Linked DNA regions of Drosophila melanogaster. The protein of the gene in region 3 purifies or fractionates together with the protein of the main gene of each other region. This does not show direct contact. Each region holds a gene or a part of one and is shown on either strand. Other genes may lie near its edges.

What was found. The genes of interacting proteins can lie anywhere in the genome.
Region 1: the proteins of Bx42 (region 3) and CG6015 purify together in Drosophila melanogaster (affinity purification with mass spectrometry, with the first as the bait; one large-scale study listed by BioGRID). This does not show direct contact.
Region 2: the proteins of Bx42 (region 3) and Prp8 purify together in Drosophila melanogaster (affinity purification with mass spectrometry, with the first as the bait; one large-scale study listed by BioGRID). This does not show direct contact.

What each region holds. Positions count from the first base shown.
Region 1 is NT_033777.3:22,031,644-22,036,166, forward strand, and holds CG6015 (uncharacterized protein), read right to left. Parts: upstream 2,644-4,523; 5' UTR 2,544-2,643; coding exon of another isoform or gene 2,439-2,543; coding exon 1,721-2,438; intron 1,656-1,720; coding exon 1,177-1,655; intron 1,117-1,176; coding exon 583-1,116; 3' UTR 507-582; downstream 1-506. Other genes in the region: CG13409 (uncharacterized protein), read right to left, coding at 1-80; CG45099 (uncharacterized protein), read right to left, coding at 2,439-2,543; Fadd (Fas-associated death domain), read left to right, coding at 2,920-3,639; pit (pitchoune), read left to right, coding at 4,192-4,372, 4,433-4,523.
Region 2 is NT_033778.4:12,159,993-12,164,924, reverse strand, and holds the start of Prp8 (pre-mRNA processing factor 8), read left to right. Parts: upstream 1-1,926; 5' UTR 1,927-2,040; intron 2,041-2,213; 5' UTR 2,214-2,231; coding exon 2,232-2,845; intron 2,846-2,901; coding exon 2,902-3,117; intron 3,118-3,177; coding exon 3,178-3,390; intron 3,391-3,452; coding exon 3,453-3,578; intron 3,579-3,621; exon of another isoform or gene 3,622-3,799; intron 3,800-3,858; coding exon 3,859-4,278; intron 4,279-4,336; coding exon 4,337-4,554; intron 4,555-4,611; coding exon 4,612-4,932. Other genes in the region: CG13177 (uncharacterized protein), read right to left, coding at 738-941, 1,004-1,063, 1,125-1,133.
Region 3 is NC_004354.4:9,103,318-9,108,456, forward strand, and holds Bx42 (Bx42), read right to left. Parts: upstream 3,288-5,139; 5' UTR 3,131-3,287; coding exon 2,908-3,130; intron 2,641-2,907; coding exon 2,080-2,640; intron 2,015-2,079; coding exon 1,155-2,014; 3' UTR 553-1,154; downstream 1-552. Other genes in the region: Arfrp1 (ADP-ribosylation factor related protein 1), read left to right, coding at 3,828-3,920, 3,988-4,240, 4,359-4,615. UniProt on the Drosophila melanogaster protein: May play a role in chromatin structure and function.

The DNA.
Region 1 (4,523 bases), on a different chromosome or scaffold from region 3:
CGCAGCAGGAGGCCGCCGGACGGCAGCTGGTAGGCGTAGCCCAGGCCAGAGGCATCCGCATCCGAGTGGGGCTTGGCCATGGCCGCTGGCAGGAATTACGGGTGTCTAGCTGATGCTCGGTGTCCACCTAGCCGTCGCCTTTTACTGCATCTCCTCTACGCCGTAGAACTCTTTTTTTTTCGCGTTTTTTTTACAGATTATTGACAAGTCTTCCACAATCCGTCCGACGTTTGTGCGACTTTCGTGGAAAATATCGATTTTGGCCAGCACTACTCGCATATGTTTTGACTTGCCAGTGGGGGTGGCTGGGCCATTGGGTGGTGGGCCGACCATCCGTCGAGTTGTTTGCCATTTCACATGCACTGCGCATGCGTACTCTTATCACAACTGAAGGTAAATAAAAGCCAATCTCGCAAAGGGGGGAGGGAATATCAAGCAACCGGATGGATAAATAACTTAGGAATTGGGCTTGATACACATGAATTAAATGAGCTCAATTGGAACATAATGGGTAAGCAATATAATCAATCAATTTACACATCAGTTTGGCTTACATCTATCTATGTTATTTTGTGCGGACCATTAGTCCCAGTATTTTATCTGGCCATCCCAGCCAGCGGTGACCACTTTGCTGGCCTCATGCGGATGCCAGAGGGCACTGATGCAGACGCCGTCGTGCGCCTGCCACTTCTTGTACATCTTCGTCGTCTTCCAGTCCCAAATATAACATTTGCCATCGCCATCGCCCGACACCAGATAGCTCATGTCCGGCGAAAAGTCCAGCTGGCAGGCGTAGCCAGAGACCATGTGACCGGTGAAGGTCTTTTTGCGGTTCATCTTGAAGCGATTGAGGGCGGAGAAGATGACGATCTTGTTGTCTAACGACTGGCAGGCCATCCATTTGCCATTGGGCGCCAATGTGACCGCCGGCATGGAATGCATAGTGGGGTCGGCAATGTACTTCATGTCCACAGGAATGTCCCACTCCCATATGCGCATCGATTTGTCGTCCGAGGTGGTCACAAACCGTCGGTTGTCGTCCACAAAGGTGATGGTGCTCACAGATCCCAAGTGCCGGTCGTATTCCTGTACAATATCACCGCTGCGAGTGTCCCACTGCGAATTGATAGGAAAACAATTGTAACATGAGCATCTACTTTTGTAAATTTTACTTACACAAATGATCTTCTTGTCGGAGGTGCCGGCAACGAACAAATGTTGCTTGCTATTATCCGGATGGAATTTCACACAGAAAGGCATTTTACGCGTTGTGAATCGGGACACTACATCGCCCGTTTCGGCATCCCACAACTTTATGTAGCGATCATACGAGGCAGACAGGAAGTTGGTACCCCTGTTGTTCCACGCAATATCCTTGATGGCCTGCCGGTGACCGGAGAAGGTGCGTATGCAGCGTCGCTCGCCGTAAACCTCCCACAGTTTGACGCGACAGTCCATCGATCCGGAGAGCAGAAGATGAGCGGTCTTGGGGAACCAGCGGATGGAGGAGATGCCCTTGTTGTGGCCCGACCAGGTGTGTATGTGCGCCTTGGGCAGAAAGCATTTGGTCGGTGGTGCATTCGATCGTAGATTCACGCCCAGATCATGAGGAGCATGCAAATAAGAGCGGCCCTGATAGTCGTACGCATCCTTGACTGTGGAGCAAAAAAGGAAAAGATTATTAACGATATATATTCGGTGGCTATTGGATTAAACTCACTGTGCAGCGTCGACTTCTCCTCGAGCGGCTTATCCTCGGGAATGCGTCCGCGCTTATGTCGCTTAGACAGCAGCTCGTCCAGTTCGGCGCGCTCCTGTTCATTTGGCTTTGCCACCGACACCTCGTTTTCGAACTTGCCCCAGGGACCCAGAAAGCCCTCAATGTCCTCGGGATTATCATTTTTCTCCTGCTTGCGCAGTTTCTTTGCCTTGGGCGGCTCAAATACCGTCTTGCCATTGTCATCGTACGCAGACTGCAGGTCACCCACAAAAGACTGGCCGTCCGCCTGATCGTCTACGCTGGGGTCCAATGCGTAGCCGTAGGTGTGAAAGGTGCGTCGCTGGTTCTCAAATTCGAAGGCATTGATGTGGGCCTTCTCTACGTAGCCGGCTAGGGTGTTCCGCGGAGCGCGCTGCTGCATGGTGAGGTCCGGATGCTCCGGACCTTTTACCGGAGCATACATCTCCTCATAGCGCGGATTGTAGGTTACCTCCTTGAGCGTGGGATCCAGAGTTCGGGGCACGGCCGATGCTCCAAGGGGAACCACCGTTGGCGCCGCACAAACAGCAATGGACTTGGATAGCGAGTGTGTCTTGTCCACGGGCAGCAGGTGATCCGGAATGGGAGCGGAGGGCTCTGAATTCGTGGTGGCTGTGGCGGCGTCCGCATGGTCCGATTCTTCATCCGAGGAACTGGCGTATGACTGAAGGCCCAACATTTAGAGGCTGCGGACGAACTCTGTGTACTTGTTAACGAAATGCTGAAGGTAAATCAAGACCAGAGTGTAGAGGAGGAATACGAAAACGTTAATGGATATTTCCATTCGTCTACACGTTTGCGTTTATCATTAGTTGCTTCAGTAAAAGTAACAAAAACATAAATATATATCTATCAAAACTAGGGATGGTGCGTGCCATCTGTTATCGATGTTATCGAATGGCTATGTAACGGTCTCACTAATAGATCCCAAACATGCAAGGTGGTGCAAGTTTAAAGCTTATTTTAAATTTTTTAAGTTGTATGGAAATAGTATTTGATATTTTTTTGCTCATTTTGCTCAAACACCTATTCAGTGCTGATCGATAACAGGTAAGGAAATGTTTGGCCATACGGTCATACTACATCAGGGAGTGAAGTTGCGTTGATACATTTTGGGAACTTAAGACCGCTGAAAATACCGTCTCTGTAAATTAGTCACAATGACTGCAGGCAGGCACTGGAGCTACGACAGCCTCAAACAAATCGCCATTGATGGATGCACCGAGAACGTGGAGCAGTTGAAACTAATTTTTGTCGAAGAGATTGGTTCGCGACGCAGATCGGATTGCATACGAACCATCGAGGATTTAATTGACTGCCTGGAACGAGCGGACGAACTATCGGAGTACAATGTGGAGCCACTGCGCCGGATATCAGGCAATATGCCACAGCTCATCGAGGCTCTGAGCGCCTACACAAAGCCGGAAAACATTCTTGGACATCCGGTTAATCTGTACCAGGAACTCCGATTGGCCGAGGAACTTCGTCAGCAGCTCCGTATTGCTCCAGCTTCCCAGAATGCTCAGCCATCAGTTTCGGAATTAGCTGCCGCTGTGCCTCCAACAGCAATCCAAAACTATGCCACCCCAGCTGCTTTTACGGATCACAAACGAACGATGGTCTTTAAGAAAATATCCGAGGAACTGGGTCGCTATTGGCGACGACTGGGCCGATCGGCGGGCATTGGCGAGGGCCAAATGGACACAATCGAGGAGCGCTACCCGCACGACTTGAAGTCCCAGATTCTGCGACTGCTGCAGCTCATCGAAGAGGATGATTGCCACGATCCCAAGCACTTTCTGCTTCGTCTGTGTCGCGCCCTGGGCGATTGTGGTCGCAATGATCTGCGCAAGAGGGTGGAGCAGATAATGTCGCACTAGAACGCATTCACTTATATGCACTTTATATGCATTTTGTTACGATACTAGTAATTAATGTGCTGGAGAGCGACAAAGATGTGCCTTTATTGTAATTATTCACATGTTATTCCAAGGTTGGACAGAGCATAAAAATCGCACACTAAATTAATATGTGTCAACGCGGAATTGTACGATCTTATAAGAAAATGTGATTGACGTATTCCATTCAAAATGGGAATTCACATTTCCTTATCATAAGATAGTCTACAAAAAATATTGTTAACTCGTAATACACAAGTCACATAGTTGAAGATAGCAATGTACAATGGATATAAAATACGTTTTGCAAACGCTTTTGCTTCTCTTATCCTCAAAAGACGGTTGAAAATTTGTTTACAAATAGGGTCACACCTTTTGCATTGAACTATCGAATTGGCAATTATCGATAGGCACAGCTGGCTGAATATCGTTTGCTTCGGGGTGAATGGTTAGCAACACGTGCGCGCAATATTTTATTTGAGAATTCTGTTTTTAACCATTAAACTCTATTAAAAAGCATACATAGTTAGCAATATGTCTATTCGGGAGAAGCTGCTGATGAAGAAGATCGTTAAGCGGGAGAAGATGAAGAAGGAGCTCTCGCAGAAGAAGGGAAACAAGAACGCCCAAAAGCAGGAGCCACCCAAACAAAATGGCAATAAACCCAGTAAAAAACCGGAGAAACTCAGTAAAAAGCATGTGGCCAAGGATGAGGGTACGATTAAAAACGTGTGTGCCTAATAAATATATGTAAGATTCACTTTTCGACCCGCAGATGACGACTTAGAGGAGGATTTCCAGGAGGCGCCGCTGCCCAAGAAGAAGCAACAAAAACAGCCTCCAAAAAAGCAACAAATTCAGGTGGC
Region 2 (4,932 bases), on a different chromosome or scaffold from region 3:
TGATATTAATATCCACAAGCAGCTTCAACTTTTAATAATTTGGAACACTTGATGTAGGAAATGCATTTAACTTGGATTTTAAGTTGAAAAACAGGTAGTATTTCAGAGAATTATGAGTTTTAAATAGTTTATGGCCGCAATAACTAACTTCTATAGTATGGTTTTCTTTTGAAATTTTACAAAGAGTTATATACTATATAAACTTCTGGCTGATATCCATTGTATAGACCAGCTTTCTTGTGACCCCGTTTATGGCCTGAAATTTGGCCATGTGGATCGTTAAAGATAGGTCCAACTAAAGGTTCAGATGTGTGTAATTACTCGACTTGGCCAACTCGGAATTTTGCTGGCCGGCTTATGTATGTTACGTTAGCCGCCTCAATTTCTTTGGAAGTTCAAAAAACAAAAAAGAAATCCGGTTTTGGACAATTGAAATTTGAAAATAATAAACCACACATGCGAGCGTAGTCGTACGTAAAGTGTTTTTTGTTTTTGTTTTGTTTTTATTGCAATAAAGCCGGTGTTAATTGTGCTCTGGGGTCAAAAACTGCCGCTGACGTCATCAACTCGTCGTTGCAAGACAGTGAAAGGGTTAAAATTTCAAAACTGGGGGGCTTGCTTGTATAACTTCTTTGGTCACTAGTGCGATTACATAGGATTTTGTGGATTAAGGAACGTATGTCCATATGTCTGAAACTTCTTGCTTAAGGAACGTTTTTCGGTCTGGCATCATAGTATTATCCCCAAACTGGGTAAATTCGGGGACGATAGAATCCGCCTCCGTAGGAGCGATATCCGCCGTAGCCGCCGTAACCGGAATATCCGCCGTACTTGTAGCCACCTCCATAGCCGCCGTAGTAAATTGGCGATGGAGCTGCATAGTAGCCGTAGCCAATGGAGTCCGCGGTGGAGAGATCAGCCTCCTCAGCGGGTTTCTTGTCCTGCCAAGCGAATGGATTTTGTTGGTTGGTTTTGAAATGGAAAAACTAAAGATATGACCTACCTCTATAGGAGCTGCGCTGATGAATCCGATAATAGCCAGGCACAAAAGGATGGAAAATAACTGAAAATGTTCACAACATTTACTCATTATGATAGAAACACTTTTTGTTTGTGTGTAATACCTTTGCCATTGTTGCTTTTATTTGCGAAATTTAACGGGGATGCACTCTAGATTTTATGTTTTTCTCTCAAATTAGCAACTTTTCCCGATCGTGTTCTGGCCAGAAGCGTTGTTGTCCGTAAACTGTGATCCCCAGCGACCTGCCGACAATATTTATAGTGGCCCAAAACGTCCCGGGGATCGATTTTGCACATGATCATTGATTGGACAAACATTCGGGAGTCTGGGGATGTCGTTACCCGATGCGAAATGAGGTGTTTCATTATCACAGATGACTCGATGGGATCTTCCAATTCGGTTATTTGAATTTCTAAGCTACAGTGAGCATTAGTTAATGGCCAAAGAAAAAGTTATTTAGTGTTTTATTTATTCGGTTTGTTGTTAGCTAAAGTCGACTGTGTGTTCTTATTTTTACCAGTCATCAACAATAATATTGACGCACTACACTAATTAAGTTCCTAATTATTAATATTAACACATTTGTTGACGAGCTGATTCATTGATTTAATTACAAGGATTTAGCCTTAATTAAAAATGCTAATGTCTCGATATTTTTTACTACTACAATACAAAGTAATTTAAGTGAATAAGGCTAATTAGTTTTAGTCGTCGCAGTTTTGGTGAATTTGTAATATATTCCCCAATAACACCGTTATTTAAATTTTCAAATTTGCTCGCACTTTGTGTGGTTATCTTGACTGCTTTTTACCACTAGACTGTTTAGCAATTCACCTAATCTCTCGATAGACGATAGATGTCTTATCGATTGAGTGATGTGACCGTTCTACTATTCTATAAATGGCTGCCGCATGAAAAAGTAAACCTCTCGTTTTGCGAACCGGAAAAATTGTGAATTGCGGCCAAAGAAAGGCAGAAAAAGTGCCAAATAGGCAGTACAGTTGCAAATTAACTGCCAGGTAAGATATTCAAACCAAGATTAGCTGGGGGAAAAGCGAAATTTACGCTTTTTCACAGCGTGGTGAAAATTGCAAAAGACCGCGACGTCGGCGGCGGCATTTCGATTTCTCCCCCTGAAACAAAACGTGTCTGTGTGTCGTAAAGTGTATGTTTTTCGTCGTTTATTGATTAGGATAAGTGCCGCGGAACGATGTCCATTCCGCCGTACATGATACCACAAAATGCGTGGGCAGCCCAGCTGATGGCCCAGCAGGCCTACGCGGCTGCCCATGCTCAGCAGGCTCAACTGCACGCCCAGCAGCAGATGGCCAACCAAATTCAGCAGATTCCGCCACCGGGGGCTCCGCTGCCGCCGGCCGGTGGCCATACCAACGGTATACCCATCCCGGTGGGAGGTCAGGGACCCGGATTGGGCCAGATTCCCACGCCCAAGCCGGACATACTCACCGAGGAGAAGCTGCAGGAGAAGGCGCTTAAATGGCAGCATCTGCAGTCCAAGCGATTCGCTGAGAAGCGCAAGTTTGGCTTCGTGGATACCCAGAAGGAGGATATGCCGCCGGAGCACATCAGGAAGATCATTCGCGATCACGGAGATATGACGTCGCGCAAGTATCGTCATGACAAGCGAGTATATCTCGGCGCCCTGAAGTACATGCCACATGCTGTGCTCAAGCTGCTAGAGAACATGCCAATGCCATGGGAGCAGATCCGGGATGTCCAGGTGCTGTACCACATCACTGGAGCCATTACCTTTGTCAATGAGATTCCCTGGGTTATTGAGCCCGTCTACATAGCACAATGGGGGTAAGTTGACTTTAACTTGTCCTCGTGGACACAACTGACGTTAAACACTTCCGCAGTACAATGTGGATCATGATGCGGCGTGAGAAACGCGATCGTCGCCACTTTAAGCGCATGAGATTCCCGCCATTTGACGATGAAGAGCCGCCTCTAGACTATGCCGACAACGTGCTGGACGTGGAGCCCTTGGAGGCCATTCAAATTGAGCTGGACAATGACGAAGACAATGCTGTATACAAATGGTTTTATGACCATCGTCCTCTAGTGGATACACAGTGAGTTTTGATTTGTCATTTATATCTGATCTTGTTTTGATTCATTTATTACCATCTAAGGTTTGTGAACGGCACTACCTACCGAAAGTGGAATCTTTCCCTGCCTCAGCTAGCCACGCTGTATCGATTGGCCAATCAATTGCTCACCGATCTAGTCGACAATAACTTCTTTTATTTGTTTGACCCAAAAAGTTTCTTCACCGCCAAGGCTCTTAATATGGCCATTCCAGGAGGACCTAAGTTTGAACCCCTCATTAAGGACCACAATGTTGGGTAAGACAATGCATACCCTAAATACTTGTTAAAATGTAATTCCTGCTTTTATTTAATTTTAGGGACGAGGATTGGAACGAGTTCAATGACATTAACAAAGTCATTATCCGGCAGCCAATTCGCACGGAATACCGCATTGCCTTTCCTTACTTGTACAACAATATGCCACACTTTGTGCATTTGAGCTGGTAAGAGTCCACATTCTTCAAAAATTACCATTCTAAAATCTTATTTACGTGGTTAGAAACGTTTCCAAGTGATCAGCCTCTCTGGAAATGCTTCATGCCGCGTTAGAAAAACGACGAGCTCCCAGGTTACTGCCAAATTTGCGATAAAACGGGAGCTGCAATGAATATGTTCGTGGCGATTGTTAAGAATTAATCGTGACTGCTGATAGTTGCATACATATAAACTCATTTGTAGCTTAGAGGATCCACATGACCACATGATGTACTTTGTCTATTTCAGGTATCACACTCCCAACGTGGTCTACATCAAGACCGAAGATCCCGATCTGCCTGCATTTTACTTTGATCCGCTCATCAATCCCATATCCCATCGCAATGCAAACTCGAAGATTCAGGAGCCCCTACCTGATGACGACGAGGACTTTACTCTTCCGGACGACGTGCAGCCGTTCCTGCAGGACACTCCCCTGTACACTGACAACACTGCAAACGGAATCGCCTTGCTGTGGGCACCCCGCCCCTTTAACATGCGCTCTGGTCGCTCCCGTCGTGCCATCGATGTGCCGCTGGTCAAGTGCTGGTACAAGGAGCATTGTCCACCTGGCCATCCGGTTAAGGTGCGCGTTAGCTACCAGAAACTGCTCAAATACTATGTGCTCAATGCCCTAAAACACCGCAAACCAAAGCCACAAAAGAAACGGTGAGTTTTATTTAAATCAAACTATAGAAACGTTTTGAATTGTATCCTTACTTTGCAGCTACCTCTTCCGTTCGTTTAAGGCCACAAAATTCTTCCAGACCACAACTCTGGATTGGGTTGAGGCTGGACTGCAAGTTTGTCGTCAGGGATATAACATGTTGAATCTATTGATTCACCGAAAAAATCTTAACTACTTGCATTTAGATTACAATTTCAACTTGAAGCCCGTTAAAACTCTGACCACCAAGGAGCGTAAGAAGTCGCGATTCGGAAATGGTAAGCAGTTAAATTTCTAAAAATTTCCCTTTTATCAATTCCTTTCATTCCTATTAGCTTTCCATTTGTGCCGTGAGATCCTGCGTCTGACCAAGCTAATCATTGACTCTCATGTTCAGTATCGGCTAAACAATGTGGACGCCTTTCAGTTGGCTGACGGACTGCAGTACATATTCGCCCATGTTGGCCAGCTGACTGGCATGTATCGCTATAAATACAAGCTGATGAGGCAGATTCGAATGTGTAAGGATCTGAAACATTTGATATACTATCGCTTCAACACGGGGCCCGTGGGCAAGGGACCCGGATGTGGCTTTTGGGCACCTGGATGGCGAGTCTGGCTGTTCTTTATGCGCGGCATCACTCCGCTACTGGAAC
Region 3 (5,139 bases):
ATTCTAGAAAAGGTCAGCTGCGAGGGCTATATAATATGGGATTACTGCTGCTTGGGCGTATGGAATAGGGTGCCTTCGATGATATGATTGTTGTTTACCATCCACGACGCGGGCACGCTCAACTTACATAATATCAGATCGGTTGGGATCGCTGTGGATCGTTTGTTGTGGTTCGGCGGAGTGGAGGAGGTGGTGCTAGAATCCCAGAGCTCCTCGGAACACCTCGCGGCCGCTAGAAGCCGTTGAATCCGTGGAATTCGCCGCGAGGACAGCGCATTCTCTCCGGGATGCGGCGGATGGCGGTGTGGACCGTTGCCGTTCGAGTTTCGACGTTGGGCTGCTCACTTATTTGCGAATAAATCGAATAAAATTGCAATTAAACTAATGCAACTAAAGTCAACTCAATGTCACACAGTGTGACCAGCGTGCGTGCGGACGATAAAGCTGCTCTAAAAATACCGGCGAAATACTGTTTTTCATTTATATTTTGCGTAGTGAACAAATTTGCAAGTTTAAGAAAACATAATTTGGAATAATATATGTAGGCAGGGTGACAGTCAATTACTGTTACATTTAATCAAGTACCTTAGGATTGGTTATTTCTTAAATACATTATTTGCATTCCTATTAATTTAACGGAATTCAACGGAGTGGTATAACACTACAAAAAAGGTCCGCTAGAAAGCTTATTGGCAAAAGAGGGTCACTTTATTCTTTGATTATAGGCGCCAAAAAGATGGTCATCATATTTTAAAAGTTTCTATCATACTATTGCTTATTTTGTATTATATTCTAGATCCGGAAGCCAGTATCCTTGCTCCCTCGGCTTATACCTTCTCCCGCATGGATGCGCACGTGAAGAGCAATCAAACCATCGCCGTATGTGGTCACACCACTGATCTTTCACTGACCAATCTGTGATTCTGGATCGGATGTGTGCTGATTGAGGTTCCTCCAAGCGCACTTATGCCAAATAACCCGTAATTACACATTCATGTTTATGTCAAGATCCTGTGATTATTATTGAAATTCTCGCCAAGTTGTTGGAGTAGTTAAAAAAAACGTTTGTTTGGTTGGTGAATGGTGAATAGTGTTTGCAATGATGATGATGACGATACAACGATGATTGGTAATCCTCACGCTAAAGCTTTTGTCTAATCGCGCTTGCTGCGCTTGCGATCCGAATGGCTGCTGCGCTCGTTGTTCTTCTCCTCGGCACGCTTGGGCGCCTTTTTGGCCATGTTCAAGAACTGATCGAGACCGAAGGGATCCTCCTCCTTCTCGAACTCAACGGGTCCACTCCTCTGGCCAGCGGCCGCCTCCTTGGAGGCACCGGAGAACTGCTTGTCTGGCACGAAACGCTTGGTATTTACAATGGCATCCAGATCACCGCCGTAGTTATCGCTATCCGCCTGCTTGCTGGGTCGGTAGATGTGAGCGCCCAGTGTATTGGAATCGCGCCACGGCTTGTCGTACACATTGTACGCTTCGTCATCACCGTAACCGGAGTCCATGCCCTTGGTGGTGTTGAATAGACGCTGATCGAAGAGCGTTTCACCGTTGCCGGCACTCTTGGCGGGCAGACCCAAAGCGATTTGCTCAGAAATGTCACGCTCCCTCTCCTTCTGCAGTTTCGATCGCTTTTCGGGAGCCGCCCGCTGCAGGTTTCTATCCCGCTGGCGCTCCCTTTGCCGCTCTGCCCGCAAGTCGTTGCGTTCACGCACCTCGGATCCTGTAGCTCCGGAACCAGATGGCTCGGCTGCCTCCGGATTGCGTAGTCCCGCTCGCTCTTCGCGAGCCCGCTGCGCCATCATACGCAGCATATCCTCCTTCTTCTCCTTCTCCTTTTGGGCCAGCTTCTTTTCCAGCTGGGAGCGTGCCTCCACCGCCTCGCGCGCCTTGCGATCGGCTATGTACAGCGCCTCGGCCATCTTGGCGAACTTCTCGTTGATGTGCACCTGCTGCAGACCGCGTCCATCGGCTGCCAGACGCTTGTCCAGTGGAATGGTGTAACCTGATATCGAGGCAAAGATTTAATTAGGATAATGAAGAGGATTCTAGTTTTACATTAGCTCGCACCTTTGGCGTTCTTCCAGTTCGATATGCAGGGCGGGATCTTCCACTCCTTTTGCTCCTTGACCGTCACCTTGCGCGATGGTGAGTGGAGGACAGGTGCCGGCGGCGATGGTGGACCTCGTGGAATCTTTTTGTTAATGCGGAACTTGGGCGGCTCCATCGGATCGAGCTGCGCCTCCACCATCCGGATGACACGCTGCTTGGCGCCCGAATTGAAGGTATCGCCCTGCTGCGAGGGCGTGTACCGAATGTACTGGGCGGGACCCGCCTTCTGGGCATGGCGCACGGGCAGCGCTGAGGTGATCTTCTGGTTGGTCAGCTTCTCCAGCGCCAGGCGCGTCTCCTCCGTCGTCTCCATCACCGTTTCCTCGTCCGGGCGCTGTAGTTCATCCGCATCTTCGGCCAACACCTCCGCCGGCAGCAGTTGCGAAATGGACGAGTACACAATCTTGTCCTTGCCATGTCCTTGGCGTGCTATGGCATCGTATTTAACCTTTCCCTTGTCGTCCAGGCGAACGGCCAGAGCATCCGACTTCTTGCCAACATTTCCTGGTGCTCCCAGACCTGTCGAGAAGATGAAGAAGACGCAGAAATTGTTTCAATTGAATAAGCCACGCTTCAAAATGCTGATCATAAAATACAAAAATACAACATTCTACAGCAAACGTTTAACTTAATGTGGTGGAAATTGAAGCCTTCTCGCTGTACAATCACCCACATATAAGAAGCTAATGGTTATTTCCCTTACGAGGACACCATTACCAACGAAAAACCGCGACAACATTGTTTGCAAGCACAGAGAAAGTGGGATTAGCACGAACGGGAACCCACCTAGTGGATATTGCGCCACATGGATCTCCGGGAAGGCGCCGCCATCGCCAAAGTCCGCATCCGTATGTGGTACCCAATCCTTACGCTGTCCGTACGGCGGAGCAGCGATTTTGGCGGAGACCAGGGCTCCGATCTTTGGTGCTCCGCGGGCGACCAGGCGACGCTCGTCCTCCCGATCCCAGATCGCGTTCGTCGGCGTGGGCAGCAGGCTTGATAGCGACATAGCTTATCTGTTATTTGTGGCGAATCAATTCTTATGTGAAATCACTTTTCAATATGCAAGCCACAAAAACTATAATGGAAAAGTCGAAAAAAAAAACACGCACGCACACGGACACACACAAGCGTACGGGTGTGTAGGGTTGCCAGACTGCTAATAAGAAAATGCTATAGAGTATGGTCCCTTTTAGGGATGGATTGCATATATTGCGTTTTTCTTAAGACGTAAGAAAACCAAATTGGTAGAAATAACAAAGCGATAGCTTTTTCCAAATTTGAACGCGAATCGGTAGTGGATTGGTAATGGTCATCAAACATCATCAAAATTTGCAAAAAATGGTCAAAAAATTGAATTTGCATTTTTGAACACAGTTTGATTTGAAATTTTATTACGAGCTTAACGAGGTATGACATTCCATATTTGGACCATTATTTCGAATGTTCTTATCAAAATACTACAATATGGTTTATAAAAATCAGGGGCAATCAGAGAAAATTTGAATAATTTATTTTTATTACCTTAACAGAACTGTGCAATACTTAAAAATATAATTTATAGACATCCCCCTAATAATTAGATAGATATAAGTGACACTTGCCCGATCGATACTATCGCATCGCCCTAGCCGCTGGCAGTGCCATCGCTAGCAGTTCAGTCAACAATTTAAGTTTTTGTTTTTGTTGGCCAAAAACACAATACAATGTACACATTGATGCACGGCTTCTACAAATACATGACTCAGAAGGACGACTACTGCGTGGTAATCCTGGGCCTGGACAATGCTGGCAAAACGGTAGGCAGCTGAATCATCCAATGAAAGCCTCATGTCCAATCGGAAACTAACACCTGTGCCCACGTAGACTTACCTGGAGGCCGCCAAGACCACGTTTACGCGTAACTATAAGGGCCTCAATCCGAGCAAGATCACGACGACGGTGGGCCTCAACATCGGCACCATCGACGTGCAGGGCGTACGCCTCAACTTCTGGGATCTTGGTGGCCAGCAGGAGCTGCAATCTCTCTGGGATAAGTACTACCAGGAGTCGCATGGCGTCATCTACGTGATTGATTCCAACGACAGGGAGCGCATGGAAGAGTCCAAAGCGATATTTGGTAAGCGAAAACAGTCTTCGAACTAATCCCTTGAACAAAACTCGTTTTGATCTATTCTGATGATCTCTGGTAAAAGGAAAAAGGTTCACCTAAAATGTGTTATTCTCTTTCCCCACAGACAAGATGATCAAGAACGAACTGCTGTCCGGAGTGCCTTTGCTAATCCTGGCCAACAAACAGGATCTGCCGGATGTGATGGGCGTGCGGGAGATCAAGCCAGTTTTCCAGCAGGCGGGTGCTTTAATCGGGCGGCGAGATTGCCTCACCATTCCCGTATCCGCGCTGCACGGCGAGGGCGTGGACGAGGGCATTAAGTGGCTGGTGGAGGCCATCAAACGACATGCGGTGGTGCGGCCGCCGCGGGAAAACGATTAGAAGATCAAGCAGAAGACATCTGGGCCTGGTAGTCGGCCCTCCACTGGCTTTAATTAGACATGTACTTTTGTAAGTTAGGGGCTTAGGATAACGCTTATTTGTAATTAGCCAGACGAGATTGCGAGATACCAATTGTAAAGATGCGTTGTCATTATTTGCAAAGACCTTTCTTTTCGGTTAACTACTGCTGAGAAAATGAGGAAAACAATGTTAGAAAGCTGTGAGACTTCTGCATAGGACAACGAATTACAAATACTATTGTTAGAATAACAAAGAACGCAATGCTTATTAGCCAATTAAGTGCAAGAACTATAAATTCAGAAGTACTTGAAGATGTATTTGAAGAAGTACTTTGTTCTGTTAATAACCCAGATACATGGGTATTTGGATGCCAAAAATGTAATAAAACTGAATCCATTCGCAGCTGTTATGGTTAATCGTTAGCCACAAAGTGTGTGGGCGATTCGAGGTCCACCAAAATCGGGAGAGTCGCTTCTTTATCTAACAGCACTGCACTCGTAGTA